4 linked regions of the Saccharomyces cerevisiae S288C genome follow. The gene in region 2 interacts genetically with the main gene of each other region. Each region holds a gene or a part of one and is shown on either strand. Other genes may lie near its edges. The genes, in order: VRG4, RGI2, HPF1 and YER187W.

Region 1 (7,792 bases), on a different chromosome or scaffold from region 2:
TGAAATATACGACATTAGTAGCTCCCAAGGTAGTAGGCACATCCTGCGTAAATTCTCCACAACCATGTTGTATATATAGCAGCCATAGTATGACCGAGCACATGGGACGTACGAATAAAAGATTTTCTCAGATCCCTGAACTTGAGCGTCAACCATGAATTTCTCTACTTTTTTTTCGAGCAGTAATTACCATTTTAGGTTTGATTACAATCACAGCTTCAGCAGAATTTGATTTCGACGTAGGCTATGAAGAGTTTGTCCGTATCAACCCTGATAAGACCTTCTTAGAAAGTGAGATTGGCCTTTACGTTGGTTGGACCGAGGGTAGTCAACGGCAGATAACAACGATACCACATAATTCCACGTTGGCGGCATCACTACAAGAGTAGAATGGTTGTGGTGGTAATGGCACAGAAACCTCCATCGCTACGTCCACACTTACGATGAGTGGTATACCTATCGCTACGATAATGAAGCACAGAAAAAGTGTACTTATCATATTACCGCAACTATGTACGTGAGGTGTAAATTATGGCTCTCATAGGACATAAGTAGGACAGAAATTGAAATTTTTGTGTTGGCAGAGCGAAAGAAACTTGAATTCGTTTATGAGGAATAAATTCTCAGCTCCATCCATGGTTCCAGTTGACGCTATGATACGCAAATTCCTTTGTGATACAGGTATCATTTCTGCAATTCCTCGTAGATTGTTGATCATACCATAAGATTGATGCTGGGGAAAGTGGAGAAGCTAACTTAACGATTGAGGCCTTGGCAAACCCTGTTAAACCAGTACTATCGGCCTTAACATGCGACTTAGAGAGAGAGAGAGAGAGAGATGTTTGCGTTTGCGTCATGATAGAGATGCTACATCCACATAGTTGTTGTAGACATGTTTAAAGGTACAATTCTGCAACAACGCCTTGAAATTTTCCAAAACTAACCAAGCACATTGGAGTTACGCTTATATAGTAAGCCACTTCACTTGCGTTGCTGTAAAGGTTGATAACTACAGGTAGGAATTAATGAATGTTAAATAAAAAAGGGAAATACCATCATCTCGACAAGAAAGGCAAAATAACTTTTCAATCTCACCAAGACGCGCGAACGAAACTCGTGCGTCTATATTAGTATCTTGACGGCGCTTTTACATCATTAAAGGTGTAATAAAACTGAAGTCATGCGATGGCACTGAAATAATCAAAGTAACTATTTGTGATGGCATGCACTGTGATATGATCTCAAGGAAAAAAATGCAATGTCGGGCGCCAATACTTATGATCATGCTTAGTCTCGACATTGACCTTGCTTGCTACAGTAATCTGGTGTCCGAGTAGTGACATCTAGGTACCGGTGAGAACTATATCTTCATTACTACACTTGTCGCCCCTGAATATTATCGCTACACACGCGAAAGAGCTCTTGTTAAAGTTACTCTCGCATCATTGCGGTACATGTTTTGCATATTCATCTGAAGTAGGAAAGGGTATAAGCAGTATATGATGTACCATCTGCATAAGCGGTGTTTAATGCGTACCTATCGTTTAAGAACAAAAGGAACACACCCACACCCGCTCCAATACCATATTGAGAGAATAATGAGGTAACATATGCTTCTATTTGGTTCGATAAGACGGCTACTAGTCCAAAAAAAGTCAAACAACAATTTCAACAGCTACATTCTGAAGATAGAACGCATTTTTGCCTGAATATTGCAACTCAATAGACATTCTAAAGTGCTACGAGAAAAAAGCTTGTAATGGACCATGGCAATGTGCGCCATATATATATGCGGCTCCCTTATGAGTAGAAGAAAATATATGACTGGTGGTACAAAGTGGCATGGTGGTATATAGATGTAGGAACACCATTTGAGTTTGCCATAATGATTAAATTTCCCTTTTTATAAAGAATTAGCCGCCCATAACACGAAAAATATCACAGTTGACGAAAGAAGACACGTCGCCTAAACGCGTAATGAATCGCAATATACGAAAAGCTAAACGGGTTTTTCAGAATCCTCTTACCCAGCCTTGGATAATAGTTTTGGCCGAAAAAAAAAAAAAGAAAGAAAAAAATTGAAATTTCGCGATCCGAACAAACAATGAACAGAAAAACAGAATATATATAACGCTGCCAAGCCTATTTCTTGTTGCCGATTAATTGTTGACATCCTCTTAATTACCAAAAGAGCCTAAGAAAACAAACACACTAACCACACAGTATCTTTCGCCCGAATGTCTGAATTGAAAACAGGTCATGCAGGCCATAACCCTTGGGCTTCAGTTGCCAATTCCGGTCCGATCTCTATTTTATCCTACTGTGGTTCCTCTATTTTAATGACGGTGACTAACAAGTTCGTCGTCAATTTGAAGGATTTCAACATGAACTTTGTCATGCTTTTCGTGCAATCTTTGGTTTGTACTATAACCTTGATTATCCTACGTATACTGGGCTATGCGAAGTTCCGTTCATTAAACAAAACAGACGCCAAGAACTGGTTCCCTATTTCCTTTTTACTGGTCTTGATGATCTACACCTCTTCGAAGGCTTTACAATACTTGGCTGTTCCAATTTACACCATTTTCAAGAATTTGACTATTATCTTGATTGCTTATGGTGAGGTTCTCTTTTTTGGTGGCTCTGTCACCTCCATGGAATTGTCATCATTTTTGTTGATGGTCCTTTCTTCTGTCGTTGCAACTTGGGGTGACCAGCAAGCTGTGGCTGCCAAGGCTGCTTCATTGGCTGAAGGAGCAGCCGGTGCTGTTGCCTCCTTTAACCCAGGTTATTTCTGGATGTTCACCAACTGTATCACTTCTGCATTATTCGTTCTTATAATGAGAAAGAGAATTAAGTTAACTAACTTCAAGGATTTCGACACTATGTTTTACAACAATGTTTTGGCTCTACCTATTCTATTGCTGTTTTCTTTCTGTGTGGAAGATTGGTCTTCAGTTAATTTGACCAATAACTTTTCTAACGATTCGCTAACTGCTATGATCATCAGTGGTGTTGCATCCGTCGGTATTTCTTACTGTTCCGGTTGGTGTGTTCGTGTTACTTCGTCTACTACATATTCGATGGTAGGGGCTTTGAACAAGCTGCCAATTGCCTTGTCTGGTTTGATTTTCTTTGATGCTCCAAGAAACTTCTTATCTATTCTCTCCATTTTTATTGGTTTCCTATCAGGTATTATTTATGCTGTTGCCAAACAAAAGAAGCAACAAGCCCAACCTTTACGTAAATGAGAACTTACGGGGGGTGCAATTTATTTTTTTTTTTTGGTTTATTTTATTTTATAGAGGCATCTAATGCAAGTAGATTTATATACAATTATACTTAAAATTGATATACCTTAGAACAGGTCGGACACAACGTGTGGTAACTCCAATATATCACTAATGACAATAGCGCCTTCTGGTGTTTGCCCCAAAATTTCATTTACTTCATTCTCAACTAAATGAATACATGTTTTCATGCCCAATTTGATACCTGTCTCGATGTTTTTCCCACTGTCATCTATAAAATAAGCATTCTCGTATCTTGCCAACCCGCTTTCCTTCATGGCTTTTTCAAATGCTTTAACATGTGGTTTGCAGACCAGCGTATCTGTCCTAGAGTAGTCACAATATGTCAATCCATCAAATAAATCCGCTATACCCAACAATCTCAGGCAACGTATTGCGTGGTTTTTATAAGCGTTGGTGAAAAGCCACAATTTATCAATCTTTCCCGATTGTCTCAATCTCAACAGCATATTCCTTAATGGTATATCAGGTTTCAAGATATCTTGTAGTGGTAAGGAATCATCCACAAGCCGGTTATATTCCAGTGCGTTCACTTTGTGGAACATTACAAGTCCCCTTATGGCAAGTCCATACTCTTTGTAGTAAGAGTTATTCAAAACGTGAGCATCTTCAGGTGATAGTTTCAAGTGTGTTTGAAAGAACCTCAGTATAGATTGTTGCATAAGATCGTGAATTCTCGTGGATGATTTATAGAGACAGTTGTCGATATCAAAAAAGAAAACTTTTAAGTTCGGGTTTTGAGGTGTAGCAGAAATATCTTGATCGATCGGAAATGTCACTTTCGAACCTGGATGAGTCAATGATTCAAGATGTGCTTTATTCTTGGCAATTTGTTCGTTCACCTCATTCTGATAGGTTGCCAAATCGGATGCAGTATATTCAACAGTCATGAAGCCTAGTAATGATTCGGTCCAAGAGCTTACTCATGTATTCCGAAATTAATTCAGGTGAAATGGGGGAGTAATATGATATCAAGAAGGCGATCACTTATTGAAGTCCACATAGATACACACAGATAAACATATATATATTATGTATATATATATATATATATATATATATATATATATGTATATATCAACGCCCATACCATTATCATTATCAATAAGTTTGCGAGGCGGGTACCCTCCCTCGTGCTATTATATTACTGTTGCCTTAATTGAGTAATTTGATCGATGACTAATTGCAAGAGATTGTGATTGTTGTACGAAGTTATAAAATCATCCACAACACTCGTTGAGTTTTCCAGTGGTGAAGGTAAGCGGGATGAGATCTGAGTCTTAAACTCTTGCAATTGAGTAATCAATTTATTTCTCAAATCTGTCAGTGTCTCTTGAGGGCATTTATACAATTCTAAGTTTTGTAGGATTTCAATCGTAGGCTGCACCGTTTGATAAATTTGCAACGTGGTATCATTGGTTAAACCTTTTGAATAGAATACCGCTGTATCAATATATTGTTTCAATGCATCATCATCAAGTGGAGATACAGTGCCATCATTGAGGTTCGTATCATTATCATGGAAGATATCTAATTTATGAAGAGTTTCAGGCTCCTTAAGCTTGGCTCTCAAAGTAGAGAGTGTATCCAAATGTGTGTTTATTTCTTTCACGGTTCTCCGAATGAGATGGTCTCTAAAGGTGGACGAATTCACAAAATCGACAACAATCGCGTCCTTATATTGCTGATTGGAGTGATATTGATGATCTTTGCTGTTGGCACTTGATATCAGTAACGCTTGAACGTTATCGTTAAATAGTGTCTCGAATAGGGATTCATTGAATATAGAAAGTAAATCATCGTCCCACTTCGAGGAAAACTCCGTGTTTAGTAAATTGTATAGTTTTACCCACTGTAGTAAAGTTAAGTTTAATGTCTTCATAGAGTCCACCAAGAACTTCTGTAGTCGACAACATTTGTCCTTGACAAGCGCTTCAAATTTGGAAGGAACTGGTATCAAAGATAATTCGTGGAAATTCAACAGTAGCTCGTCGAATATCCGCGACGGAGTAGTGGAAGTAACTATACGATTACAGAAGTTGTTGATGGAGATGGTCCAATTTGAAATTACTAAAATGTTTTGCGATGGTATGCTGACTTTTTCTTCGTCACGAGGTGGTGATATATGGGTAGTGGTTTGGTATGGTAGTGGAGTTAACTTATTCAACTGAAATTTTTCATCATTGAAACACAGGGATTTAAAATCTTGATCAACATTTTTCAAATTGAGCGACAAGTCATTAACAGAATCGGTCAAGCTTAAGATCTTGTTATAGTTCTTTAGCAAATTCTTTTGGAAGGCCTCATTGGTTTTAGTCAAATCGTTCTGTAACTCCAATTGATAATCTTTAATCTGTGGAATATGAGAATCGCGAAACAATGGTAAGACTTCATCCATTTTCTATCGTATTGGTTTTTTTTAGGTTTTCTACCACAAGATTTGTTGTACGAATGTGTTATTTATTATTCACCGCCATGTTTCATTTTTCTTCAGCATAATGATGAACTGTAACAGAAAATAGGAAAAAAAAATTGTCATCTGAGAAATTGCTTTGGATGACCAGATCCAAAACAGACATAAGCATTCGTATAATTGGTACATAGGTATATATCAAATAAAAATATGCATTATTCTAAAAAAAAAAAAAAAAAAAAAAAAAAAAAAATCAAAAATGTCTCTCTAAAGGGTGATTATAAAAAACTTGGTTTGGGCAAGTTTTTAGCCTCCCTTGGACCATTAGTGGCGAAAGTGGAGCCTGCATAAGAGTGACTGAGTTTTTTGGCACTGCCATTACAACCCATTGGTATTATCCCTTGAGAGCCATGCGGGGATTGTTTCTGGTTCAGAAGCAGATTCTTTAGGTTCTGACTCAGTAAACGAGTATCATCTTTGTTGTTCTGTCGTGGCGTTTCTTTATTATTCTGTCTGTTTTTTTTACCTAAAGTAGTTGTAGAGGAAGGGGAAGAAGGTGGAGAGTGCTTCTTTTGATTAAATGATGGTTTCTTGTTGGAAGAATGGCCGAAGTTAGGTTTCTGACCGTTAGGAAGAGTTTGAGGAGGTGGTATATCTGTGATATAGTTGTTATTATTGGCGTTCTTAGCAGCATTTCCCCTCGCACGATTATTTCTAGTTTTTTGTTTGATTAGATTATTTGTCTTGTTCCTGCCAGCCGATGGCAACAGCCTGGAGCTGTTGAAATACATGGTATCCGTCGACATGCCTTGTAATATTTGTGTGAGTATATTTGTGTGCTAAGTGTAATTACGTTACGCTTTGCTGAGTACTTCGTCTTCAATACAGAGTATGTTATTGTCCTTGTTATTTGAAGACTTTTACCTTTTCTATCCGTATTTCTCTATCCGATACAACAACATCATTTTACACGAACAGCCGGATGATAAAACTGTAGTACGTATGGTATTTGTGATATCCTATATAGCCATATAATTACTAGCAGCTATGCAACAGTCAAAGGATCGCAATCCATTTTGCTTACGACTACTTCGTGGCCCTCATCTTGCAACAAGCCCTTCATAACGTCTTGAAGGAATCCACGCTCAGTATTTGAGTGGTTGCAAACAATAACGGTCTTGCCCATTTCTTTCCACTTCAGTACTTCATGATGTGACATTTCTCCCGTATAGTAAAGGTCTACGTCCTCTTTTAGTTGCTTAAACACGCCAGAACCGCTCCCGGCACAGACAGCGACTTTTTTGATTTTGAGTTGATTCCATGCGGATGGAGCAGCAAGAGATGCTACTTGTACATAGGGAACCCGTAAAACACGCTTGACATTTTTGACAATTTGCTCCAAAGAGATGTCTTTATTGAATTCTACGAATCTACCGTAGCCAATCAAGTCGTCAGTTTCGCCACTTACAGTTTCCAAGGCATAAGACTTTGCGACGTTCTCTCCGTTGTTCAAACCCCTAACCAACCAGTCATTTACACCGCCACGAGCGGCATCTACGGCAGTGTGAGGGCAGTATACGGATATTCCGTACTGGATTAGCTTTATAGCTGTCTCGTGTTGTGGGTTTGTATGTGGGCTTAATCTGTTCCAGCTTGGGAAAATAAAAGGATGGTAAGCAACAATTACGTTGCAGTTAGCATCCACAGCTTCTTGAGCAACTGACTTCGTGAGGTCTACAGTCAAAAGGACCTTTGTTTTAGCGTTTGCATCGGCAGTGGTGACTTGTGCAGTGGAACAATCGATGAGAAGACCCGTATTGTCCCAGCTCTTGTCTGCGTACTTTTGAGGGTAGAACTTGGTAATGCTACGCACAAGTTTGTCCAATTGTGCTCTAGTAATAGCTCTGCTCATTGCGTTTCGGTGGACTCTTGTTCTGTTTCCTTCCGACTGTGTATTGGAATAAGTTTTTCGGTGTTATATATATACATATATATGACAGGTGAAAGAATTGAAAAGGTGAAAATAAATGACGAATTTGCAAAATCACATTTCCTAACAACTCAGTGG
Region 2 (7,425 bases):
AAAGGTCTCACTGATATATCCATTCGCAATAATGACAAGATTTTTGCATGGGACTTCTTTTTTTCTTTTGAATAAGTCGCGTTATAAGGACAAAACATTAAAAAAAAATATGTATTGATTCACTGATTTATATATACAGAAGTAAGTACCGGGGTACCTAAATATACGCATAAAAGTCTCTTTCTTTTTTTTTTTTTTTTTTTTAGCTTCCTACATTTCGTTAATAATATTATATAGATTATATTTATATTTAAGAAAAGTAATATCAGCATATTATGAATAGACAAAAAAGTCTAAGGTCAAGATTTATTAAATGTTAGATTATTAAGATTACAATTAACAACATTTGTTGTTACTTCATAAAATTTCGTTACTTCATAAAAGAACTACAGTCCCCCACTTCTAAATGAGTGGTTGTAGGGGTTCATATACCTCCCATACTGTTGGAATAAAAATCAACTATCATCTACTAACTAGTATTTACGTTACTAGTATATTATCATATACGGTGTTAGAAGATGACGCAAATGATGAGAAATAGTCATCTAAATTAGTGGAAGCTGAAACGCAAGGATTGATAATGTAATAGGATCAATGAATATTAACATATAAAATGATGATAATAATATTTATAGAATTGTGTAGAATTGCAGATTCCCTTTTATGGATTCCTAAATCCTCGAGGAGAACTTCTAGTACATTCTACATACCTAATATTATTGCCTTATTAAAAATGGAATCCCAACAATTATCTCAAAATTCACCAACTCTTCACATACATACCTGCGGTAGCAAGATAGGTACACTTTTTCTACGTTTCACGAAGGTAGCGATAGGTACCTCACTCATTGTAGGTGCGGGGGTAGCGATGGAGGTTTCTGTACCATTACCACCACAGCCACTATACTCACGTAGTGAAGTCCCTAGCGTGGAATTGTGTGGTATCGTTGCTATCTGTCGTTCGCCACCCTCGGTATATCCAACGTGCAGGCCAATATCACTCTCTAAGAAAATCGTATCAGGATTGGTACGGACAAACTCTTCATAGCCTACGTCGAAATCAAATTCTGCTAAAGCTGTGACTGTAGTTAAACCTAAAACCGCGATTATTGCTTGAAAAACTGTGGAGAAATTCATGATGGACGGTCACGTTCAGGGTCTGAGAAAACCACTCATTCCTATGTCCCATGTGGTTGGTTGCAATTTGCTGCTATATATACGACTTGGCTGTAGAGAGATCTACGTAGGATGTGTCCACTATCAAGGGGGGTTTACCAACGTTATCTTCTATTTTAAGTGCTCAAATGAAGGTTGCATTATATCCCTGGCAGTTTTCCCGGCAATTTTGCCGGCCGCTTATAATAGTCATGGTGAAAGGATTGTTGCTTGTTGTGGTTGCAACATGACAGTTGCCTACTAACTAAATAATAATCAAAGTCAGTTTCTCAACAATGGAAAACCTGTTGTGACCTTATCGAAGTAACAACATCGTATAATAATTAATCTGGAAAAAATACCATAGTTACTGCCGATACAGGTCTACGTGACTTACTGACAAACAGACTGAGTGACTACGAGTCCAGAAATTTAGTATACCATATTGTCGCTTCTTCTTATAGCCCAGCTCCAGGTCTGGATACGGTTCTGTATAACTCGTTAAGGTTTAAGTGTCCGGCAATTTTTTTGAAGTTTCATTTCTTCACTCGATGACCAAGCCGTGTGCCATCTTTTCGTTTTCTTTTTTTTCAATGTGTTTAATTATCTACAAAGAGGGCACACACAATAGAGCTGATGAGAACCCATGAGCGAAACAAGTAGAAAAGCAAGACGTAAACGGAATCATGGTGGTGTGTACATTTCTCTTTTTTTATTACACCAAGAAAGCTTAATTGGTACGTATTGTTCGTGATAGTAGCATGAATCTAGCGTGGAATTCTTTTATTTAAGGTCGCGTTGTGACGACAAAACATTAAAAAAACCACATGTGTTGATTTGTAGACTTGTATACACTCCAGTAAGAAGGTGCACACCAAAATACATGCGCATATAAATTATTTTATATAGCATGCTATATTTCGTAAATTCATAAAATTTCGTTAATTCATAAAAACAGCTCCCCAAACTTAGATGAGTGGCTGCAAGGGTTCTGTCTTGTAATCAACATCTACCATTGCGCCATCGTGTTTACATACAACTTCGACAGACACCTTGAATTTCTTGGCGTTCAACTCCGTTTCTTCGCCATAATTCCAAACAATCCGGTCAAAGGATTCCTGCTTTTTCTTATCGTGGAATTTCAATTCTGGCTTGTTGATAGCGGTTTTGATGTCCTTTAGCAGGTGCTTCTCAACATGCTGGTGTAAATGGCGAACAAACTTCTTAGAGTGCGAATTGGCAGTCTCTTTGATCTTTTCCGGATCATCATGCGCATCATGCAGGACAAAGGGTGGATAGTACTTCAGTTGGCAATGGACATGGTCGAACTCTTGATCTTCCGTCTCACCCTTTAAATATGTTTCAAAATCATGCAAATCCTCAAAAACCTTTAAGGACTCACCACTTTTTGTAGTGATGGTGGACATCTTAGGACCCTTTGCTTTCTTATCCTTTTTCGTCATTCTTATTATTTAAAATACTTTGTTATATACTGTACGTTGTTTCGTTTGCACTTAATCGTGTTTCGACAGATAGGTGAATCAAGATCTACCTTTACGCGAAAGATACGAAGAATTGAGAAGGAGGTGCAAGGGAAAAGGGCAATAGAGGATTGGGACAGCCGATGCTTATATACGGACGATTGCCAACCGCCGAAAAGGTTCAAGCCAAGAACAAAAAGTAGAGAGAATACCCCAACAATAGCATTTGATGGCTAAACGGCAGTGCCCGTTAATACTATTCAAATTATACCCCGCATTAATAATTCCTGTCCCTTTAGTCTCGTCCTTCAGCCGTATAGCCGCAAAACTTCGTTCAATGATTTCATGCCATCATTACACCGCGAGTCGTGGGTGCATTGTAGTTTATTACGAAAAGTATCTACAATACTTGCTTAAATAACCTACATTGTTTTAGGCACTATGGCCGAGTGGTTAAGGCGACAGACTTGAAATCTGTTGGGCTCTGCCCGCGCTGGTTCAAATCCTGCTGGTGTCGTTATTTTTTTATTTTTATTTTTTTTTTATCGCTTACTGATTATCAGATATCTTCGACAGCCTCACACAGATTGGTGATCACGCACCCATAATCATTTCTTCGGGCATGCTCCTATTAGCCACGGTTCGCAGAATAATCTGCGCGATGTTATTCACCAAGACCGTGGAGTCTCCTTTTCGGTGGGATCCGCTTATATCCGTATGCGTCGGTTGCTTTCTCGGGGAAAGGAAAAGGAGAAAGCCCGGATAACACGACACAAGAGTCATTCGTTATGCACGGACACAGGGAATCGTGCGGAGCCGGGGATAAGAGGCCGTGCTAATTTCCGCGGAACATCGGAATGCAGTGGACAAGTGCCCTGAGAACAAGCGGCGGGCGGGTAGCTGCCACGGAATAGGCGCCACGTTTCCGTGGGTGACTATGACTTTTGATCGATTCCATGTTGTTTTGCCCTGAATTCTGCGCCCCTCGGAGAAGTTTCTTTTCTTTTTTATCTCTTTTTCATCTCTGACCTTCGTTTCCTTTCATATAGACTACGCAGCAGAATCATGGCAGGAGCTATTAGCTGAGTGGGCAGATTACGTTTGCGCACTGTGCATTGTGACAGATTATATTTGCTTCGCTTCTCCCTCTTACTTCTTCAGCATAAGTGTAAGCCATATGTTCCCTGAAATCTTTCTACCGTCGTCTTCTCTTTTTTTTTTTTTTACTATAAATCAATGTGCTCTCTTCCATGATTCTTGCCTTTTGGATCTTCGGTACTTGTGTGGGTGAGAATGGTGTTATTGAGTCAATTCAGGTCAGCTTGGTTCAGTTCTAATCTAGCCCTTTCCCTACTATACAAATACTACTAGCCTTTTTTTTTCTCTCTCTTTCTCTATACCACTACCTCTTCCTCTTCCTTTTTTTTCTCTTCTTTTTCTATTGTCCCCATCGCATCTTAGCATAAACGCATCCGCATTCCCTTCCTACATTTTTCTTTTCTACTAGTTATAGCTTTAAAACCTTCTTTATTCTCTTTCTACCTATTCTTCTTCGTTGCTTATATCCTATACACATATGAACGGTCCTCCAACATTCACTCAATATAGAATAAATAAGTTTTCTGGGAATGGAGCAACTCATAAGATTAGAGAATTACTCAATTTTAATGATGAAAAGAAATGGAAACAGTTTTCGAGCAGAAGGCTGGAGCTGATAGACAAATTCCAACTAAGTCAATATAAGGCAAGCGAACAAGATCAAAACATAAAGCAGATTGCTACAATATTAAGAACGGAGTTTGGATACCCTGTAAGCTGCTCTAAGGAATTCGAAAAGTTAGTCACTGCTGCTGTGCAATCAGTGAGAAGGAATAGAAAACGATCAAAAAAACGCTACGCTCTCAGCATAGCCAATGGCAGTGGCGGCAATGTCAACAACAGCATCTCGTCAAATTCTACTTCTGACGACGAGATCTCTCCGTCGATCTACCAGCGCTCCAATTCGGACTTCCTGCCTAGTTCTAATTATGCTGCAGATTTCCAGTTTTCAAACAAGTTCCAGCCTCTCATGAGTCACCAGAGTCATAACGGAACCATTTTTCCAACCGTGGGCACCCAAAATGACTCATCTCCATCGGTTACTTCGACCCAACAAAAGTATAACGATATAGTCACCATGCTAGTGCACGATCTTGTTACGAATGTCGTACCCCTATCAGAACAAGCTCTCAAGGACCCATATACTGGGCCAAACCTGTCACATTTTGCTACGTCTTCACTCAGCCAGCAACCTAACATTACCACAAACATCCCGATAGATTCTACCGTGCCATTTTTCCTGAGGGAAAAGTTACTCCTACAAATCCAAAGATCAAGAACTTGTCAGGACATTTCGCAGGCTGCAGGATCCATTGATATATACGCAAATCTGGAGATTTTGGGTGAAATGTCAATCCGAATGTCTATTGCATTCGTTATCGAACGATTTTTCTCCAACTTGGTCTCTTCTTCAATGAAGTATATCACTGCCAAGACGTGCTCTCCTGAAAATCTGGCTTTGTTGTCTCAAAGACTGTTCGGTGCCGCTACAAGACATAACTTATCTCATTTCCCCGCGGCTCAGGTACAACTAAGGCTACTGTATTTGGTCATAGGTGGTATTGTCAAGGATTTTGGCTTCGACCCCACGCTTTACCCTTTAAGTGAAATCATACATCATATTGTGATGGTTCAGTATCCTTTGGCTAGTTCCTGTGCGTCAGAACCACCATCATCTTCACCTAACAAGAGGGTTAAGAGAAGCCCTCCTGTCGTTTCAAGTGACGTTATGTTGAATAATAATAACACTCTATCGAATAGAGCTACACTTTTAACTACGCTACCAATGAAGCCTCAATCGGCCAATAAAGATGTTAATCGCAGAGTGATCATTAGATTTAATGATCGCGAGCAAGCCTTTACTTTCCACCAGTTGAGCAATGGACCACCCACGGTGTCTGAAGTTTTGGAAAACTGTAAAAATTTATTTAATATTATCAACAAGAACAAGAATTTTGGTATTTTCCATAACGATAACCTCTTGAACGATGAAAGTTTGGCAAAGTTATTTGATTCCTTTTCCACGAGCGAGATTCATCTCGTAATTAAGGACATTTCCACCATTCCACTACAAGATGCAAAAATACCAGTGCCCATTACGTTGCCCAAAATGTCATGCATAGGTGAAAACCCCTCTATGCCTTCTATTCCATTGGTACCACAAGAAAAAGATGATCCAAAAAAATCAAGCTTAACTGCCTTTGATAACATCCTTAATAGGATCTCTAAATCGCCAATGAATGAAGAAAATAGCAACACTACTTTAAACACTGGCACCTCCACCTCCAACACAAATAATAATGACCACAACGAGTCTGTGCCAGCGCCATACGTTACAAAGAACAAAAATTCTTTTCAAAATGGCAATTTACCACAGCCGGTTTTCCAGCCTTTACTTTGATAAAAATACAAAACAAAATTGTCTACATACATAACTGCCTAATACACATTCTACACAATATTTTTTTCTTTTTCAATTCGCGTACATATTTATGTAAGATAAAATAATAATATCCTCTTAATCCATGCTTAGAACTGCTGCCGTTGATTTTCAAATTCATCCTCGTCAAATGGTGGCAGTTCCATTACATGAATTTTGTACCCCAGTGAATATTCCTGGTCTTGTAAGGATTCGAACGTCAAATCAGACAGCTCTTTATCGTGGAACCCAACAATGGCATTATACACAATTGTGCTAACTTTAAAGTATTTCGCCTTGCTATCACCTTCGGAGTCAGAGACGTTTCCACTTTGTGCAAAAGTAGTTGGCAAATTTCTATTAAACTCCTCTAATTCATCTTCCGGTAATTCAAACCTCAGTAGAGTTGCTTCTTCATGATCTTCATAAACCCCTACATAGAATTCCCTTGTATTATTGATAGATGTTCGAGGTCCGCCATTTGTGTATGTGCTATTATTTGCACTCCCGTTGGTGTTCTCATTTTCTGATATCTTTAGAGCGTCCATAGATTCATTGAGTAAAGATGCTTCGTTTTGTTGCTGTAGAAACTGTCTTTCCTGTAGTCTTAATAGCTTGGGGCATTTCAGTTTTATAAAATCTTTTAGAACTGTCCATCTTAGCCTTCCAAATTTTTCCAATTGTCCTTTCTCTTTAATTTCAATAACTGTGAACTTCTCTTGGTTCATTAACTCATTGAAATCAGACTCTGATAATTTCTCCAAGAATTCTATAGGTATATAGGGTGGGAAATTTATGATCTTCAGCTGCCACATACCTCTATTCGTCATTTGTTTTCTAAAGCTTTTCTCGTTAAAGATATGCTTTAATCTTTTGTGATTTATTTGAGTTTGTGAAGGTGTAATTGTTCCACCATTCTTTGCTTGGAGGGCACGGTCATCACCATTCGTACTTGTAGTGGGAATATTACCATTATTATTGGAATTTGAGGCCATGTTCAAGTTGTAAAGGGCAGATATTTCGTTATAAGAGGGATTTATCTTATTGTTCCTTAAGGAGAGGTGATGCTGCTGAGAAAGACGAGGGCCTGTGCCAGTATCTGGATTCCTGGGGCTATTATGCATGTATTTTTGAAACTGGCTTTGGTTCTGGTGATAGAAATGCCGACGACGGGGATAGTGTGTAGGGGAAGCAAGTGGACCACCAGCAGTAGCAGCAGCTGTTGGTGAAGGTAGAGTAGTTTGATAGGGCATCTGCATATTAGGTACCGTT
Region 3 (9,751 bases), on a different chromosome or scaffold from region 2:
GGTATTTTTCTAGGATACTGTACCAATTACGGTACCAAGAACTATCACAACGCCACTCAATGGAGAGTCGGCCTTGGTCTTTGCTTTGCCTGGGCTACATTCATGGTTAGTGGAATGATGTTTGTACCAGAATCACCACGTTACCTGATTGAGGTTGGTAAAGATGAGGAAGCGAAACGTTCACTATCGAAATCCAACAAAGTCTCAGTTGACGATCCAGCCTTGCTAGTTGAATATGACACTATAAAGGCAGGAATTGAACTTGAAAAGCTGGCAGGTAACGCATCATGGTCTGAACTACTCTCCACTAAAACAAAGGTCTTTCAGCGTGTTCTCATGGGAGTGATGATCCAATCGCTGCAGCAATTAACCGGTGACAACTACTTCTTTTACTACGGTACCACCATCTTCAAATCTGTCGGTCTAAAGGACTCCTTTCAGACTTCGATCATTATCGGTGTGGTTAATTTTTTCTCTTCATTCATAGCGGTATACACCATTGAGAGGTTTGGACGCCGTACGTGTCTATTGTGGGGTGCTGCTTCTATGCTATGCTGCTTTGCTGTGTTTGCCTCCGTCGGTGTGACAAAGTTGTGGCCTCAAGGAAGCAGTCACCAAGACATTACTTCTCAGGGCGCCGGTAACTGTATGATTGTGTTTACTATGTTCTTCATTTTTTCGTTCGCCACCACTTGGGCAGGCGGCTGTTACGTTATTGTCTCAGAGACGTTTCCTCTTAGGGTCAAATCAAGAGGAATGGCAATCGCAACAGCTGCAAACTGGATGTGGGGTTTCCTGATTAGTTTCTTTACCCCATTCATTACCGGGGCAATCAACTTTTACTACGGTTACGTATTCTTAGGCTGTCTGGTTTTTGCATACTTTTATGTCTTTTTCTTTGTCCCAGAAACAAAAGGCCTGACACTGGAGGAGGTGAATACTATGTGGCTGGAAGGTGTGCCAGCATGGAAATCGGCCTCATGGGTGCCACCGGAGAGAAGAACCGCAGATTACGATGCTGATGCAATAGATCATGACAATAGACCAATTTACAAGAGGTTCTTTTCCAGCTGATCTTCTAGTTTTCGGTAAATTGGTAAAAAAGCAAAAAAAAAAATTGACGAAACTAATTCTCTATTATACATAATGTTTTTACTTTTGTACCCTTTAATTTCTAATGAATGTTTTATGGAAGCTTCAATAAATGCGTGACTGGCTATAGTTGTCGGATGGCAATCCATTATTATGTATACCGTATTATTAAGAGTGCAACTAGGCCCGACTATAAATCTAACACTCAGATCCTTGTACTGTAATGCATATTTATTTTTTCACAAGTTGCATGCTAATAATACCATGATATTTTTTGAAGCCTTGAAAAATAGTTCAAGCAGCTACGATATCATGAATCAATATACTCATTGCAGCCTATGTAATATATATAGGTTCCGTGTTACCACTCGTTTCTGATATTTTCGATATGGCTACACTGGGTTTTTCATGATGGAAATGTGATACTACCAGTTCCAATATATTTATCTTCCTTATCTATATGACACGCTGTTATTTTAGTTCAAGTCAGTGTCCAATTGGGGTGAGTGTCACGTGCACAACGACGGTAGTCGTTGGATGTGCTAAATGATGTTCTACTGCCAATGACTGCAAATACGTTCGAAGAGTATAAAATCGAAGGAAACGAATTAAGTTGCCAATCCTTACTGTAACTATAGCATGTTACATATATGTACCATAAGTATCACATTAAGGTTTCGCCATAGCCATGTGCCTATATTAAATAGAAATATCACATGGCGATCCACGGAATGTTTATAGATTTTCTTCTTTTGTCTATGGCCCGGGCGAGACATTAATTTATCTTGCTGAAAAATTCGAAAGTTAAAACTCAATTATGCGTGGGATTTCTCAATTAGGTTACCAGAATTTCAATCTGCTGAAGAATTATGTCTTAAAAAAAAAAGTCCCGCCTCAAAAAAGCCAAAAAGGGTGTGACTGTAGATTGTGGGTTACTTGCTGTCAAATGACATGAAAATCTCTGCCTGCATGATCCCTGTCAAAATTCGAAAACACGCGGTCATAAAATTGTGCCTCAAAAAGATATCTTTTCCTGCGGGTTCTCTTAGTAAATGAGGTTAGGTTGTTTCCTATTCTTACGAGATTTCCCTTGTTCTCGCCGCTCACATCATTGTCGGTAAGATCTTCCGTAGTGGCAGGTCAAGCAGTGAGGAAGAAAGATCGGCAGTAAACTGATAAGAGCCAAACCGAAAAGTTTCTTATACGCAAAAACGCTTTGAAAATTCTCCAAGAATCCTATTTGAAACTCTTATTAATAAATAAAGTATAAATATAATAAAGTTTATTGTGAGACATGTCGCGATAAGCACCCCTTGTCTTTCTTGGAAGGGAGAAATTTGTAATATAAAGCCAAGTGTTCAGAACTCGATTTTTTTCTGACCAAAGAGCGGAAGCTCCACTATAAAAGTTGGGAGGTACTTTTAGGTTCTCTTAAGTTCGCATTTAATTATGGCCTGAACGATTTTACTGTGGACAATAAGTGAAATAAGTGTCCTTAAAATGTGTACGATGTGTACACATCAACCTAGTCTCCCCTTCATTGGCAGAAGAGGGAACCATTTCATCCAAAAAGAATAAAAAAAATAAAAAAAATCCAAATATTAAGCTAAAAAAATACTTAACTGTTTACACAAAGCGTATATAAAACGCATATTAAGAACCTATCTCGTTTCAGAGGAATAAACTTTTAATTCCTCAGTTAAAAAAATTAGTTAAAGAAAGCAAGAACGAAAATACCGACCAATGCATTCAAAGTATTGGCATTCAAACCTGCGGCAATACCCTCGGACTGGACAATGATACCAGTAGAGGTCTTTATTGGAGCTGCAGATTTGGAGTATGTGGAAATTGCACTAGAAGCCTTGGAAATGGCAGTAGTCAATGAGGTTGCTTTAGAACCCTCAGAAGTGACAGTAGTGTATGACTTTGGAGAAGCACTAGTTGCGGTGACGGTTGAAGTAGCTTCAGGTATTTGAGAGGTGATTATCTTGACGTTACAACCATTGTCATCACATTGAGTAACAGTGGCAGTAGTGTATGTCTTAGGGGCAGCACTGGTTTCTGAAGTTTCTGAAGTTTCTTTAGGAGCTTCAGAAGTGACAGTCTTGGTGCTACATCCATTGTCATCGCACTGAGTAACAGTAGCGGTAGTGTATGTCTTTGGAGAAACAGTAGTGGTTGTGGCTTCAGGGGCCTCAGAGGTGACAGTCTTAGTGTTACAGCCGTTGTCGTCACAGTGAGTAACGGTAACAGTAGTGTATGATTTTGGAGAAGTAGTAGTTGCTGAAGTTTCTTCAGGACATTCAGAAGTGACAGTCTTGGTGTTACAGCCATTGTTGTCACAGTGGGTGACGGTAACAGTGGTGTATGATTTGGAAGAAACGGTTTCAGTGGCGACGGTACCGGTAGACGTAGTTACATGACATCCGGTCTCATCGCAAGAAGTGATAGTGGCGGTGGTAGATGAACATGGTACGGTTGTGGTAATGGTATAGACGTTACCGTTCGAATCAGTTGTTTCTGAACAGGAGACAACTACTGTGCTTGTGGTTGTTGCATATGTTAATGTTGTGGTATAAACAGATGGGGAGCCGGAAATCAAGGTGGAAGCCGTTGAACCAGTCACGGAAGCACCGAATGAAGTGGAAGCGGTTGAACCAGTTACGGAAGCACCGAATGAAGTGGAACCGGAAGTAGAGTTGGTAGCCCCTGATGTGGTAGATGTGGATGAGGGTGTAGCGCTGGAAGCAACAACACCTCCGTAATTTAGATAATAAGCATAGGCACCAGCAAATGTTCCTTCGGAGACGTTGAAGCCAGAACTGGAGAACCCAGTACCAATAGAGAAGGAGAATTGTGAGTTGCCTTGTGTTGCAGTTAAAACACCAGTAGCACTGTCGTAAGAAAGAGCAGTGACATCTGCTGTAATGGCGATTTGGTTTTCACCAGTGTATCCAACCACAGGGATAGGAGTAGTGTTGGTTTCGGTTGGGTCAACGGCAAGAACACCTTCACCCTTGAATACAACAGTTTGGCCAGTAAAGGTGTCTGGATAGTGCAAGTAAAGGTTGCCAGAGATGATGTTGATTGTACCACTTCCAGAAACTGGTTCGACAACGACGTAGGTACTGCCATTCTCAAGATTTATCTCACCGTTGTTGACAGAACCTGATTCAGCTCTACGCTGCAAACCAGAGACGGAACCACCATTGAGAATAGCATTTGAGAAAGAGAAAGCACCAGAGTTAGAGTAGGGAGAGAATGTGACTTCGCCCTTTGTGGACTCTGATAGACTCAAAGAAATATCACCACTGTTATCGAAAGAGCCTGGAGTGAAGGAGTAGGCAGATGCGGAAGAAGCAGCAGGCTCTTCAGCGTTAAAGGTACCAGATACATCAAAGTTTTCACCAGAAATGTCGAATTCGGTACCTGGGTAAGTTGGCTTAGACTTTTCTACGAAAACGCCACCATGGATTATGAAATCAGCAGAGAAAACGTATTTGTCACCATCAAGTAGGGTCAACTTACCACCTGCAGCGACTTCGACAGCTTCAGTTGCAATGACTGAACCGGTGAGTGTGATGTCACCACTGATGGTTGTAGAAGGCAAATAAATAGTACCATCGCTGGAAGAAAGAGAGTTGGAAGCAGTTGCAGTTGCACTAGAAGCCGAAGAGGTAATAGAACTTAAGGTACCGGAGGTGATAGAACCAGAGGCAGTGGAAGCCGATGAGGTTGATTGAGGAATTGAACTCGAGATACCTGGAGCAGAAGAAGCTGATGAACCGGAAACGGAGGAACCAGATTGTGTAACAGAACCGGACGTGCTGGAGGCTGATGAACCGGAAGCGGTACCAGATTGTGTGATAGATGATTCAGATGCTGATGAGGATGAGCCTGATTCTGTGACAGAACCGGATGAGCTAGGAACCGAAGAAGCGGAGCCTGATTCTGTGGCAGAAGATGAACCGGAGACTGATGAGCCTGATTCTGTGGCAGAAGATGAACCGGAGACTGATGAGCCTGATTCTGTGGCAGAAGATGAACCGGAGGCGGATGAGCCTGATTCAGTGGCAGAAGATGAACCGGAGGCGGATGAGCCTGATTCAGTGGCAGAAGTTGAACCGGAGACTGATGAGCCCGATTCAGTGGCGGAGGATGAGCCTGATGTAATGGAAGTAGATGAACCGGAGACTGATGAGCCCGATTCAGTGGCGGAGGATGAACCGGAGGCGGATGAGCCTGATTCAGTGGCAGAAGATGAACTGGAGACTGATGAGCCTGATGAAGTAATAGAAGATGAGCCGGAGACTGAAGAGCCTGATGAAGTAATAGAGCTCGAGACTTCAGAGGACGAGGTTGATGGAGCAATGGAGCTCGAGACTTCGGTGGAGGATGACGTTAACTCAGTGAGAGAGCTCGAGACATCAGAAGTAGATGAGGTCAACTCAATAGAACTACTGATGGAAACGGAACCTGATGAAGTTGACGAAACGGCGGTGGAGCTGTTACTAGCGATTGAGGAACTGTTGGTATAATATTGGCCCAATGCACTTTGGGAGTAAAGGACCAAAGCCAAAGCGGCTTGAAGTTTATTAAAGCGATTGAACATCTCTTTGACAGGCGAGATCTTACCAAAAAGAATCAACGATGGGTATTTGTTGTTACTGACTTGAGAACCAGAAAAGGCATAAACCTAAGATAATGGGATGGCAGAACCGATACTAATGAGATGAATATGAAGCTTTTTATATGCTTTTTGCAAGTGTGAGCGGACTCCGAATACGCAACTGCGTAGATTAACCGCTGGGCTAGCTTAAATCTCCTACGGGCACTTCTGCGGAAGCATCCGCAAGTTCTGTGCGCGCGCGTTCCTTGCAACGAACGGGGGGGCATTTTAATGAGTAAACAAAGATATTCCGCTGCTAATAACAACAAGAGACCCCCTAAGCAGTCTGCAAAACCGTGCAGGACGTGGTCTAAGCTACTTTGATAAGATAGTCACAGGAACCTTTTTGGAAAATTAAACTATTACCGAAAAAAGCCACAACACAGGGCCTAGCACCAAGCATTTTCACCCAATTCGTCATGAAAAGTCATTATTACCTTATTTCCAATTGGAGAGTTAGCCAGGAATCTCCGCTCAGAATGAACTAGCAGTATAAAGAAAAATATACGACTTGGATAAAGAGGAATGCTTTAGTAAGCTACACCTCACTTTTCGATGAAAAGGAGTTAGTGGTTGCCTTCCGTGAGCGCGAGATATTTATTTTTATGTTCCTAAGGCGCGTGTCTACCTCGTATTTCTGCAACGCGAGCACGGTTTTCTGTTGAGGAGTGGCTGGTAAAGGCCCTTTAAAAATACCACGCCATTTTAGTAGGCCCTACTAACTAATTCATAGCAAAATTCAGAACTTATCCATTAGAAATAAATTGCGGTGCCTACGAAAAGAACGTTCCCTTGGCAAAATTAAAGAAAAATTAAACGTGATCGGTCTATCGAGCAGGCCATTGAAGCATATGTACAAGCACGGTTTGAGTGCTTAGAATTGAACAGTTATTACAGTTCTTAACACTGTTTCTCTAAAAGTGCAAAAAAGGCACGGTCACATAGACTAATCTTGCAGCGGTTCCAAGGCTTATTTGTTGAGTTGGGTTAGTGGAACGAAGTAGCAGTCAATTCCAACGTAGATCGGTATATACGTTCAAGCCCCCCTGAAAGTTGCCGAGGCCAAATGGAGAAAATAAGTTGTTCCCCTCTTTTTATTAAGAATTAAAGTGTTCTATTTTAGATTGATTTCCTACCATTGGTTTCAACTTCTCTCTCTGATTCAGTTAAGCGACGGTGTTTTTAATTCAGATTTGATTGTCCGTCTCCATTTTTTGGTAAGATAAGTGTGAGCAAGTTTGAGGGGTTACTACTGACTCAGAAACCGTACTGCTATGTAGTACTTGCCTTCGTCCTACCTAGTAACTATTATTTCTACCTAGGAAACATTTTAGGGTATGATCTACCCCATTGCGGGGTGCCTTTTTCTTACGTTAGCGAGTACTCGAATGAGGGTGAAATGGCATCGTCATTGATTGCCGAGGACAGACTCCCCAACATTGAGGTGTTTATGGTTGGCCTTACTGATAAACCATAAAAATACGGTCCGATATGTGTAGTGGTTCCGTTATATTTTTGGCATGGTAAGCATGTATAGGTATATGCTACATTCAATTATCTGGAAAGGCGGTTTTTTAAGCTCATTTTCTTTTTTGAGCTTATTCTTGAAGATAATGCTATCACACGTGCATAATAAAATAGTAGCTTTTTCTTGTAACTGCGCTCTTTTTTAGCCGCATTCCAATTTAGCCTTAAATCGTGAACGTGGAGATGATTATTTCATCTCAACTAACTTGTATAACCTTATTTGCGTAGTCTTCGCGGGGTAATTTTTGATGGTGTAAACTTTTACCATAGAAATACGATACTCTACATGTAGTTTTGTCTATTTAGTGAAATCCGACAAACTGCGACGGCTAGCAAGTTCTTGCTTGTTTCTCACTAACAGCTTATTCTTTCAAGGAAAGGTGTATAATTAGTTCGACAAAATTCAGTCCGATTCCAAAAATATGGTTGCTGAATCGAGAATCAACTATTGTTAATTGACTAGCAGTCTTCTTGCTAGTATATATGACATACTGGTGCAAATATGGCATAACATCAAGAGGCAGTCATCATATCTAAAGGATACAGAAATGGAAGGATTGATAATGTAACAAGGTAATGAACGACAATATGTAAAATGAATGAAAGCCTCAATAATATCATACAGACAAAAATCGATTCCCTTTTGTGAATTTTTTTTTTTGTATCCTCCAGGAGAAATTCATACCTAATGAGAACAGTGGAATCCCAACACAATTATCTAATTTTTTCATCTATTTCTCATAGATAAAATGAAATTTCAATAATTGACCAATATTCACCTGGCCCATAATCAATCGCTGTAATAAAATCTCCAAAAAGGGTAAAACTAAACAACTTTTAAAATGTGAAAAATTAAGTAAAGAAAAAGATAAGAATAAAGTCCAACAAGAGTCAACTGCTTGAAATTTTCAGCTGAAGTGGAAAAGAGGTGCTGATCATTGAGTGCCAAACGGAAGTTTGTTGCTGCCGCAATGTCAATGAAGCATTAAGCTCTGACGTTTTGCCGTTTCTTTTTGGGCAGTATGCGATCAATTTATGCTAGCCAAAAGAAAAAAATCGTATGCGCGCTGAATCAGCCGTAGCTAGCTGTCGACAATGACATGGCGGAAGCGCTGTTTTTAAAGGCTTCTTATAATTGACCTTCAGGGTTAGGACCCTGAAGGTTTTTTGTAGCCATACTGCTTACAAGAATGTAACCTCTTTGGAGGAAAAAGAAATTATACTTTCTTTTCCAGATCACGAATCTGTTGAAGTACTGTTCTTTTCCGTGGCTTGAACCCTCTACAAGAGATCTATAGACGCCGCACATGCTTTCAAATAGAGCTACATTCTGGTCCTTCAATATATCAATTAGAAACGTATAAAAACAAGACAAAATTACTGTCATTGGGGGAGAACAACCCATCTAGGAATTGGGATTGAGCAATTAAGATAGAAAACCAAATCCACACACAACTACTAAACATTATGAAGTTCTCTTCCGGCAAATCTATCATCTTTGCAACTATTGCTTCTCTAGCTTTGAGTGCTCCTGTCACTTACGACACCAACTCTACTGCTGAGTTACAATCTCCTTCATCTCAAGAAATTCTGGGTTGGAGTCACGCAACTTTTCCTACCATTTACCAAACCTGTAATGAGACGAACGCAAGAATGTTGAATGCAGCTTTTAAGGATACCGCTGAAATCACCGCTTATGGTAAAGATAGACTTTTGAACTATGGTGTCGATGACGTTTACTACAAAAGATGGTTTGGTAATGGTAGTATTTTCACCGTCATGGGTGTCTTTGAGCAATTGATGGAGGCTTCCAAGGGTGCCATGCTCATGAGATGTGATGATATTGATGGCTTGTGTGCAGCTAATCCAAACTATTACGCTGGTCATCACCGTCAATCTGCTCCAGCTGAAACTGTTATTTGTGATTACTTCTACACTTCCAAAAAGCCACTATCAACAATTTGTTTCGAAGGTACTATTGTCGATGTCGGTCCAAAACATTATGCAGGTATTGATATGTTACATCGTTACTTGCACGTCCCTACCATGAGTATGGATGGATATGTTGGCGAGTACGCGGAAACTCTTGAAGAAGTTGTGGACTACACCCAGAACAATGCTACTTACGCAGTTAGAAACACCGACAACTATCTTTACTATCTCGCTGACGTTTACAGTGCTTCTGTTATACCTGGTGGCTGTCTAGGTAACTTGTAATAACCACATCATTACTTCCACAGAATATGTTTTCTATACCGTAAATATTAGTTCGTTTATGTTTTTAAAATAAATTGGAGCTATTCTTTTTCATTGAATTAGATGGTATTTTTTATATGATTGCAAACTTTGACGAGAATGTACTGCTCATTATTTTTCGTAAACTGCAAAAAATTGAGCACAATATAAGTATCTCAGTGCATTGTATACGTGTCGAGTAATGAATCAAACAATAGCATTCTTCTT
Region 4 (7,374 bases), on a different chromosome or scaffold from region 2:
ATAATAGCTTGTTTTCTTCACCTTAACAGTGCAAAAAAGAACTTTAAACAGAGTGAAACCGTCGCACTCTCCTTTTACCTCATAATCCGACTCTTCAGGGAAGTCCCCATTTTTCAATATCTCGTATTGATAAAAAAGAAAACCCACATAATCTCGCCTAACAAAAAAAGGCTTCTTAGTGCGGAAGGCAAATAACGGCAAGCCCTCTCCATCCGCCGTAAATGACTTGAAGGGATGCTTCCTACTTGCAAACAGATTTATAGATCGTTGTGATTTGAATATTAGATCGTCTTTGAAAACACGAAGCTTGACCATTCCAGTTTTCGTTACAGTATCAAATTTAAACTTATCCGGAACATCCTTCCTGTCTTCGTTAGCGTAGATTTCTTCTTCTATAGCCTTTACTCGAGGCTCGTAACCATCAGGATGCCACAGCATGATACTGTTTACAGAACTCGATCATATACTAGAACCTTTGACTTCGGTAATCAGCCCGCATCCTATGCTTTCATTTCCTTGGCGTATGTTACTGACTAGTTTCCTGGCTTAAAATAGGAGAATTCATCCTCTTAGTTATTTTCTTGGTGGACCACGTGCCTTGCTTAAAGCAGGGCGCTGCCGTTGTTGCAACAGCATTTTCAGACTTTCCTTTAGGTAAAAAAGGTCAACCAATAATTTTATTTTATTTCTGATGATGGTTGCGCGTTCCAAGAAAATCAAAACCTTGGGCCTCATCCTCTTCTAAGACGTATAATGCAATCAAGAAACCCTTCCCAAAACCTAATAAAGGCTTGTTATTAGTTTCAAATTCAGGCAGAACTCGACTTGGATCTTTTAAACTTTTAAAGTCGTAGAAAATAGGTGCATAATTAGCTAAAACAGAAGAGACTCACCATTTGAATTATATAACTTTATTAATTCGAGTAAAACATCCATCAGGTATAGCGTGTTGCGGAAAGACTTTTTTTACTCTTATTGTAACAAATATGTGTTACAATTTACCTGTAACCTTGTTCTGTATAAAATTTTCTCTCGTTGTCATATGCCAATCTTTATATAATTAATAGAAATTTAGGAGGAACACAAGAAGAGGGGTAGATCCCGACAAGCCTTAACATACAGACGTAAAATTACTCGCAAATTTGCGAACCACTTGGTCAGGTGCGGTACGTAAAACGAAGATTTGTACAATAAAAATATTGTTGGTTTAGCTAGATTATATTCTCCGATGATTTTTTAACTTCGATTTCCATCAAATTTTATATTAGACAGTAATGGAGTTTCAATTTCGAAGTCACTTCACTTGAAGCTGAATTATACTAAAAAAATTTTCTTTTACTTGATTTATTGCTCTGCAGTGTCTGATAGTGTAATGGCGGATAATGCAAAGAAGAGTAAAGGGAAGATATTTTATTTCTTTGATTATACAAAATTTTTAACTTGTATGTGATCCCTGTCTTTAATATCGTTTCATTATACAAACTAACTACAGAAATAGCTAAATGAGTGATTACTGTGCCATCATTTTGACTTCAAAGATCATCTATATCTTGATATAACATCTACCTGTCGAAAGTAAGATCATCCCTTTGCGGGCATGTAAGGTGTAAGATATAAGAACAAACAATTGCTAGAAAATAGCTTTGAATGAATGTTAAAAGGGACTGAACTTAGAAGTGTGCGATTTTCTGTTTTCAAAATTTGCCCAAAGCGCTTCTTTTCTTTTTAAGAATTGTATAGATGTAATTATTTAACGGATGTCTGACATTATTGAACCTTCCTAACTCCACAAAAATAACCAACGGGACCTCTACCTTACTAAACCACTTCCCGCCCCATTAACTAACCAGCATAACCTAGACAATACAAGGAAATGTACTTCGAAATTTTAAGGTAAACGCAATTCTTGTCACAATATAAAGCTCTCACTGTGCTCATACACTGCTTCGATAATAAAAACCAAATGGTTTCTACTAAAACATAGCAAGCCTCACAAGATATAGAGATCACACACCATTGAAAAAGAAAGTTCAGCAAGTTTGCTGGAGGTTGCAAAGAGACTAACGAAGGGCTTTCATAACGACATTTTACAGTTATTGATAAAAGAATGCTTTTACGACAGCAGAACCTATTGGTTTGAAGAAGATAGAGGTCTAGTAGTATATTGTTGCTTTAATGATTCAAACTCTTAACAATGTGGGCAAATATGCGTATGATTTCGTTCTGGGAAAGGATAGTAAGAAGCCTTTTTGATTACAAAACCGTGAAAGACGGTTTAGCAGCTTTTACAGGAAACCTGCTTTACCTTAGCCAGTGTTTTCTCATCTTCAAAAAAAAGTATTGTACGCAACTCTTCCATCTAGCAGAGCTCCCGCTCTTTTTCAAACAAGTTTCATTATATTTATTCTTAATAATTTTGGTATCATCGAGGTGAGGTCTTCGTTGTTTCAACACCAGCTATTTTTCAGCGGCTTACAATTACGTAGTTCTATTAACGAATACACTGGGAGGTGAGTATAATCATGGACTGTAACACTATACGACTCCAACACGTTATATGTATCAGTTATATATATATATTATATTATTTTGGGAAGAGTAGCATTGCTTTTGAAAGTACACGGGGTTTACTTTGGCTCATAGAATGGGTCTGGATATGAAATTCTGAAATATTCAGATTTTGGAGTACTGAAAATATTTAGCAAGAATTTCAAATATTAGTTAGTAAACCAAACCAAGGCATCTGAACTTGAACCTCCATAACTCGCTTTCTAACATAATGAGCTTGTATGACATAATATTATAGAACTCGAGGTTAACCTTTAAATATAAATATAGTAATCTTCATGATAATAATTTCAGGGTAGTGCGCGTATTTGTCGAAAAAACGCAAAATGACAGAAATTCTATGTTTACTGACTTTAGATTTTGTTTTAGATCAATTGGCGGAAAAAGGACGCAGTCTGTAACTTTGATTGGCATCTTGATTTGATTTGTTGGGTGGTTCTCTTACAATCAATGGTTTATTTCATGGAAAGCTTGATGACATGTGATAGCACACCATGCTAATTAGTGAAAAGAGTCCTTGTTGACTTACCACATGTGCAGCCGCCTTTTACCGTGGTGCGAAGCATATTGAGCGGCCTGGAGACCAAGAATGTCAGGGCCTTTAAACAATAGAAGAAGTGTATAGGAAAAAACTAAGGTGTTTTGAGATATTTTTTATAAAAGTAGTATTTCTTAAAAATCAGCGGGGAGCCATTCTTTGAAGGCGCGCTTGCAAATTTTAGGTATTGGGCTTGATTATTTTGGCAAGTGTCATGCATTGTAACAAATCTATATAAAGTGACAATTCTGGAACACTGTATCGTAATCCCAAATAATGTATGTAGAATAGAAAAAAATATATGAAAAAATGAATAGATCATACACAGACGACATGAATAGCAGCCCTCCAAATTACTTGACAACAAGGACGTTTAGAATCGTTAGATTGTTTGCAATAATTTTTGCACTGCTTTTGGTAGCGTACTCATTATTTTTAAGCACACTTAGAACTGGAGCTATACCTGACCGCGCCAACACTGCTGCTCTAGTACGGCGAGCTAGGTGATCATTTGCGACTGGATTAGGACTAGGAGGATTTTTAATTGCTGCAGCCGCTTATGCTACTCCTTACTGGGTCGCAGCAACCTGTATCGCATCCACTAGCGGAATATGTTCACCTATAGCTGGTGCTGTTTTAGCAACTTCAGCAGTTATAGTTGCAGCAGTTTTAGTGGGAAAGAGTTCTGGCTCAGCAACAAAGCGAGGGTTAAGTGAGACTATTAATGTACTGAATCATACTATAACACTCACTGATCATGTGCTCAATGGGCAAACATTGTCTAATGGTACTGGTAGTAATTTTGTTACAATAGAGTTTAGTGGGTATGCAGTACATGACACTATTAAACGTGACGGTGCTGCTGAGATCAACTTTGTGGGGTATACTACGGAGCATGGAACCCACATCAGCACGAGTAGCGTACATAATGTGAGCATGCTCATCGATCAAATCGTGGCAGCGGTACCAGGGGTACCTGATATAAGTGGCAACGCTTCGGCCCTATCGTTACAGAGACGCAGTCAAGAGTTCGCCACCTCATGGATATCAATGACATATAGTCAGAGTTATGGTGACCTGGCACAGAACTGGCAGAATGACGAAGGTGGAGCAGGAAATTTTGATTCTTATGCTGAAGAGAAGTTACAGAATTTCTTTTCAGGTAATAGGGATTGGAAATACTGCTTTGCTGCTGAGGACACGAAAAACGGTGAGCCACTTGATTACGATGACATACCTGGTGACGGTGCAGGCACGGGTTCGGCATTCAAGTCTGAGATATATTTTAACACTTACGGTGGTATAGATAATTATTGTAATGACGAGCATATCGGTGCTCAGAACACTGGAGATGGTCGATAAAGCTTTACGCCTGTCGCTGAATTGACTGACCCGAAATTAAGAACTGTTGACGTAGTGAATTACGATCTAGTTTATATGTCATAATGTAGTAAGTTTATTGGACCCTTCTATATGTTATGTAAATGTAATAATTACATAGTTACTGCTTTTGTACATAGAAACTATAGTTTCTTAAGTACTACCGGATTAGAGGTTTGCTACTATATGTTTTCCTTGTCTCAAGCATTACTGAAACAACTCTGAAACAATACTAAAACATTACTCATATCATGCTTTTGGGTTACCACATTCAACAATAACTCGAATACATTTATAAAAAAAACAAAACTAAGGTACAAAACACACACCACACCACATACGCGCTGATTGGTTTTATGGAAGCTAATAGTTCAGACATAGCTCAGAAAAATAATAATAAGTATTATCAAATATAACTCATCTGGTTACATGCTAAGTTCTTGTCAAGTGATATAGCGTTATCTTTATTATTGAATTAAATTCTATAATTAGAATTCGACTACACCAACTAATGACTCTAAAAAATATGTGATTGCCCTTCAAGATTGCATTATTTCTCAATGCATTACATACATAGAGTATACTAGATACAGATAGATGATTGTAAGTGTTGGAACAAGATTCAATTATCATCCTATTTATTGCGATAGACGCACTACTTGAGAGTGATATACTTACTTATGCTACTGCATTCAAAGAGTACCACTAAACAATCTCAACAGAATCAATCAGACTTTTTTTTGCCACAAAAACTTTTAACGATGTCCTTTGGCAGTACTGTATTTTGAGATTAAAGGCGTTCAGTCAATAAAAAATCTAAATTCTTGTTCATTTTCAGTTCTGGTATTTTTTTCATATTAATGATGGGGTGGCTCTGGAGGCTCATTTTTCCCACTGAAGATCGCTGGTAATTTCGTTCGTATGTTTTAAAGAGAACTATATCCTGTCGCCAATTATGTGCAGTTGATGAGAAAACTAAGATAGAAATAAGTAGGGATGGAACCAGGATCCACAAGAAGCGCGTTTAGCCGATCCGGCTTATCAGGTACGAGAAGCAGTATTATTAAGTAAGAAAGCGCGCAGGAAAGCGGCCTTTTGAAAGCACGTCTGCAGACATCTCACGACACATTCCCAAATAGGGCCCTGCTAAAAAAAAAGCAGCAGAGCGTACGTTGCCTGGGAAGCATGGTTTAGCGTGTTGCTATATTATGGTAAGGGGGGTGGTCAGTATACGTTGTGCTGACTGCCAGAGAATATCCTTATTCACAATTATTTGTTGAGTTTGATACTTATTTACAGAGACTATATATAATGACACTTTTGGAATACAGTATCGCTACTCAATATCATAAAAAAAGTAACAATAATGATGCCTACCTACCTAGGAAAGTTAACGTGGTCATACTTTTTTACCACTTTAGGACTAGCTTGTGCTTACAACGTAACAGAACAAATGGAATTTGATCAGTTCAAATCAGATTACCTTGCCTGTCTCGCACCAGAACACAGAAACATTGTAGTCGATTTGGCTAGTAATGGATTCATAACAATTTCACCGATGGCGAATGCAACAATTGACTTTGAGGATGTAACTAGTGATTATTTTAACTGCACTGACGTCAATACTAACGTACAGGTTACGATCGCGTCATTTTACAATGAATACGGTTTTGGGCCCGATGATAACGGCTATTATCACGCTATGGAAGAACCCTCAGAATTTGAACGGCATGACATGGATGTTAGGCTCTACAGACCATACTATCCAGGTGAGTTTGTCATGGGAAGACGTTCAGATGCACTTGGAGTGACTGGTTTTGACCAAAAGGACTGCGCAGGTGAGGGTTTTTACGACGAACAAACTGCAGCAACGTCATGTCAAAATATAGGCTCCACTCAGTACGCCAAGTCGGTCAGGTCTTATAACTATGGATGCTGCGGCGGGGCGGTCTGGATCAGGATTTGGCCGCATCACAATTGTTCAAAAGGTCATGATCACCATTTCAAGATAAGGCCAGGCCAGATGCTATGCTGGAATGTCAACCCATATTCTTGGATGCAACCAGAATCCGGATGGAATCCGTAACGAATAGGATTCTGGACATACGTTAGGTTCTTGTCGAATGTGATAACCCAAAAGCATGGTACAAGTGATGCTTCTTTTTTGTGTCGGTAATACACAAGGAGAACATATAGTGATAAACCTCTAACCCACTATTACTTAAGAAACCCTAGTTTCTATGCACAAAAGTAGAACCCTATATATCTTATATTTGTATTACATATATAAATGTCCAGTAAACTTACCACATTATGACATATAAGCTAGATCGTAATTCACTACGTCAAAATTACATTATGGGAGTGAAAGTATAATGGAGCACCCGTGTGAGTATGTGCTTGTTGACGTTAACGAGGATGAACAAACGACAAATAGATTCGACGTATTGAAGTACTTCTTGGCCACTTTTCATCTTCTGACGCGGTGAGCTTTTAAGAGCCCTTCTTTTTCGACTGGCCACGTGAGAAGACATACAGTTCAGCTTACATAGCTTTGGCCCATACAATACCTATGTGCCCCAAACCGCAGAGACGATTAGCACACCTTTTTACCTGCACCACAGTCATTTCTCGATAATGGTGAAAACACAGTGATACCACCGCACAGCAAAGGTGCTGCCAATGGACTTGAAATATTTTATGGAGTGCGAATAAAAAAATGCTCATGGACTCGAATATGAGATGCAAAGCCACCCTGTGCAAAATGGTTATCCTTGTGGGAGAGTGTTACGACAGTGATGTGGCATATTATTCTAATGTATGGTCTGTGTAAGTACGAAATATTCTGAAATGGCATCCGTTCAAGCAATGGTAATATTAAGGAACTT

Evidence for each region.
Region 1: mutations in RGI2 (region 2) and VRG4 together harm fitness more than expected from each alone (negative genetic interaction), as found in Saccharomyces cerevisiae (one large-scale study listed by BioGRID).
Region 3: mutations in RGI2 (region 2) and HPF1 together harm fitness more than expected from each alone (negative genetic interaction), as found in Saccharomyces cerevisiae (one large-scale study listed by BioGRID).
Region 4: mutations in RGI2 (region 2) and YER187W together harm fitness more than expected from each alone (negative genetic interaction), as found in Saccharomyces cerevisiae (one large-scale study listed by BioGRID).

What each region holds. Positions count from the first base shown.
Region 1 is NC_001139.9:74,657-82,448, forward strand, and holds VRG4 (GDP-mannose transporter), read left to right. Parts: upstream 1-2,237; coding exon 2,238-3,251; downstream 3,252-7,792. Other genes in the region: SDT1 (nucleotidase), read right to left, coding at 3,359-4,201; Golgi transport complex subunit COG1, read right to left, coding at 4,456-5,709; EDC1 (Edc1p), read right to left, coding at 6,003-6,530; NIF3 (uncharacterized protein), read right to left, coding at 6,770-7,636; BOL2 (Bol2p), read left to right, coding at 7,718-7,792. UniProt on the Saccharomyces cerevisiae protein: Involved in the import of GDP-mannose from the cytoplasm into the Golgi lumen. Defective copy causes severe glycosylation defect and abnormal retention of soluble endoplasmic reticulum proteins. Involved in vanadate sensitivity.
Region 2 is NC_001141.2:245,779-253,203, forward strand, and holds RGI2 (Rgi2p), read right to left. Parts: upstream 2,619-7,425; coding exon 2,124-2,618; downstream 1-2,123. Other genes in the region: YIL060W (uncharacterized protein), read left to right, coding at 614-1,048; YIL059C (uncharacterized protein), read right to left, coding at 772-1,137; VHR1 (Vhr1p), read left to right, coding at 4,213-6,135; YIL055C (uncharacterized protein), read right to left, coding at 6,264-7,425. UniProt on the Saccharomyces cerevisiae protein: Involved in the control of energetic metabolism and significantly contribute to cell fitness, especially under respiratory growth conditions.
Region 3 is NC_001147.6:25,903-35,653, forward strand, and holds HPF1 (mannoprotein), read right to left. Parts: upstream 5,705-9,751; coding exon 2,801-5,704; downstream 1-2,800. Other genes in the region: hexose transporter HXT11, read left to right, coding at 1-1,074; YOL155W-A (uncharacterized protein), read left to right, coding at 1,182-1,316; ZPS1 (Zps1p), read left to right, coding at 8,756-9,505. UniProt on the Saccharomyces cerevisiae protein: Involved in cell wall organization and biosynthesis.
Region 4 is NC_001137.3:562,188-569,561, forward strand, and holds YER187W (uncharacterized protein), read left to right. Parts: upstream 1-4,042; coding exon 4,043-4,468; downstream 4,469-7,374. Other genes in the region: YER186C (uncharacterized protein), read right to left, coding at 1-438; YER188W (uncharacterized protein), read left to right, coding at 5,853-6,572.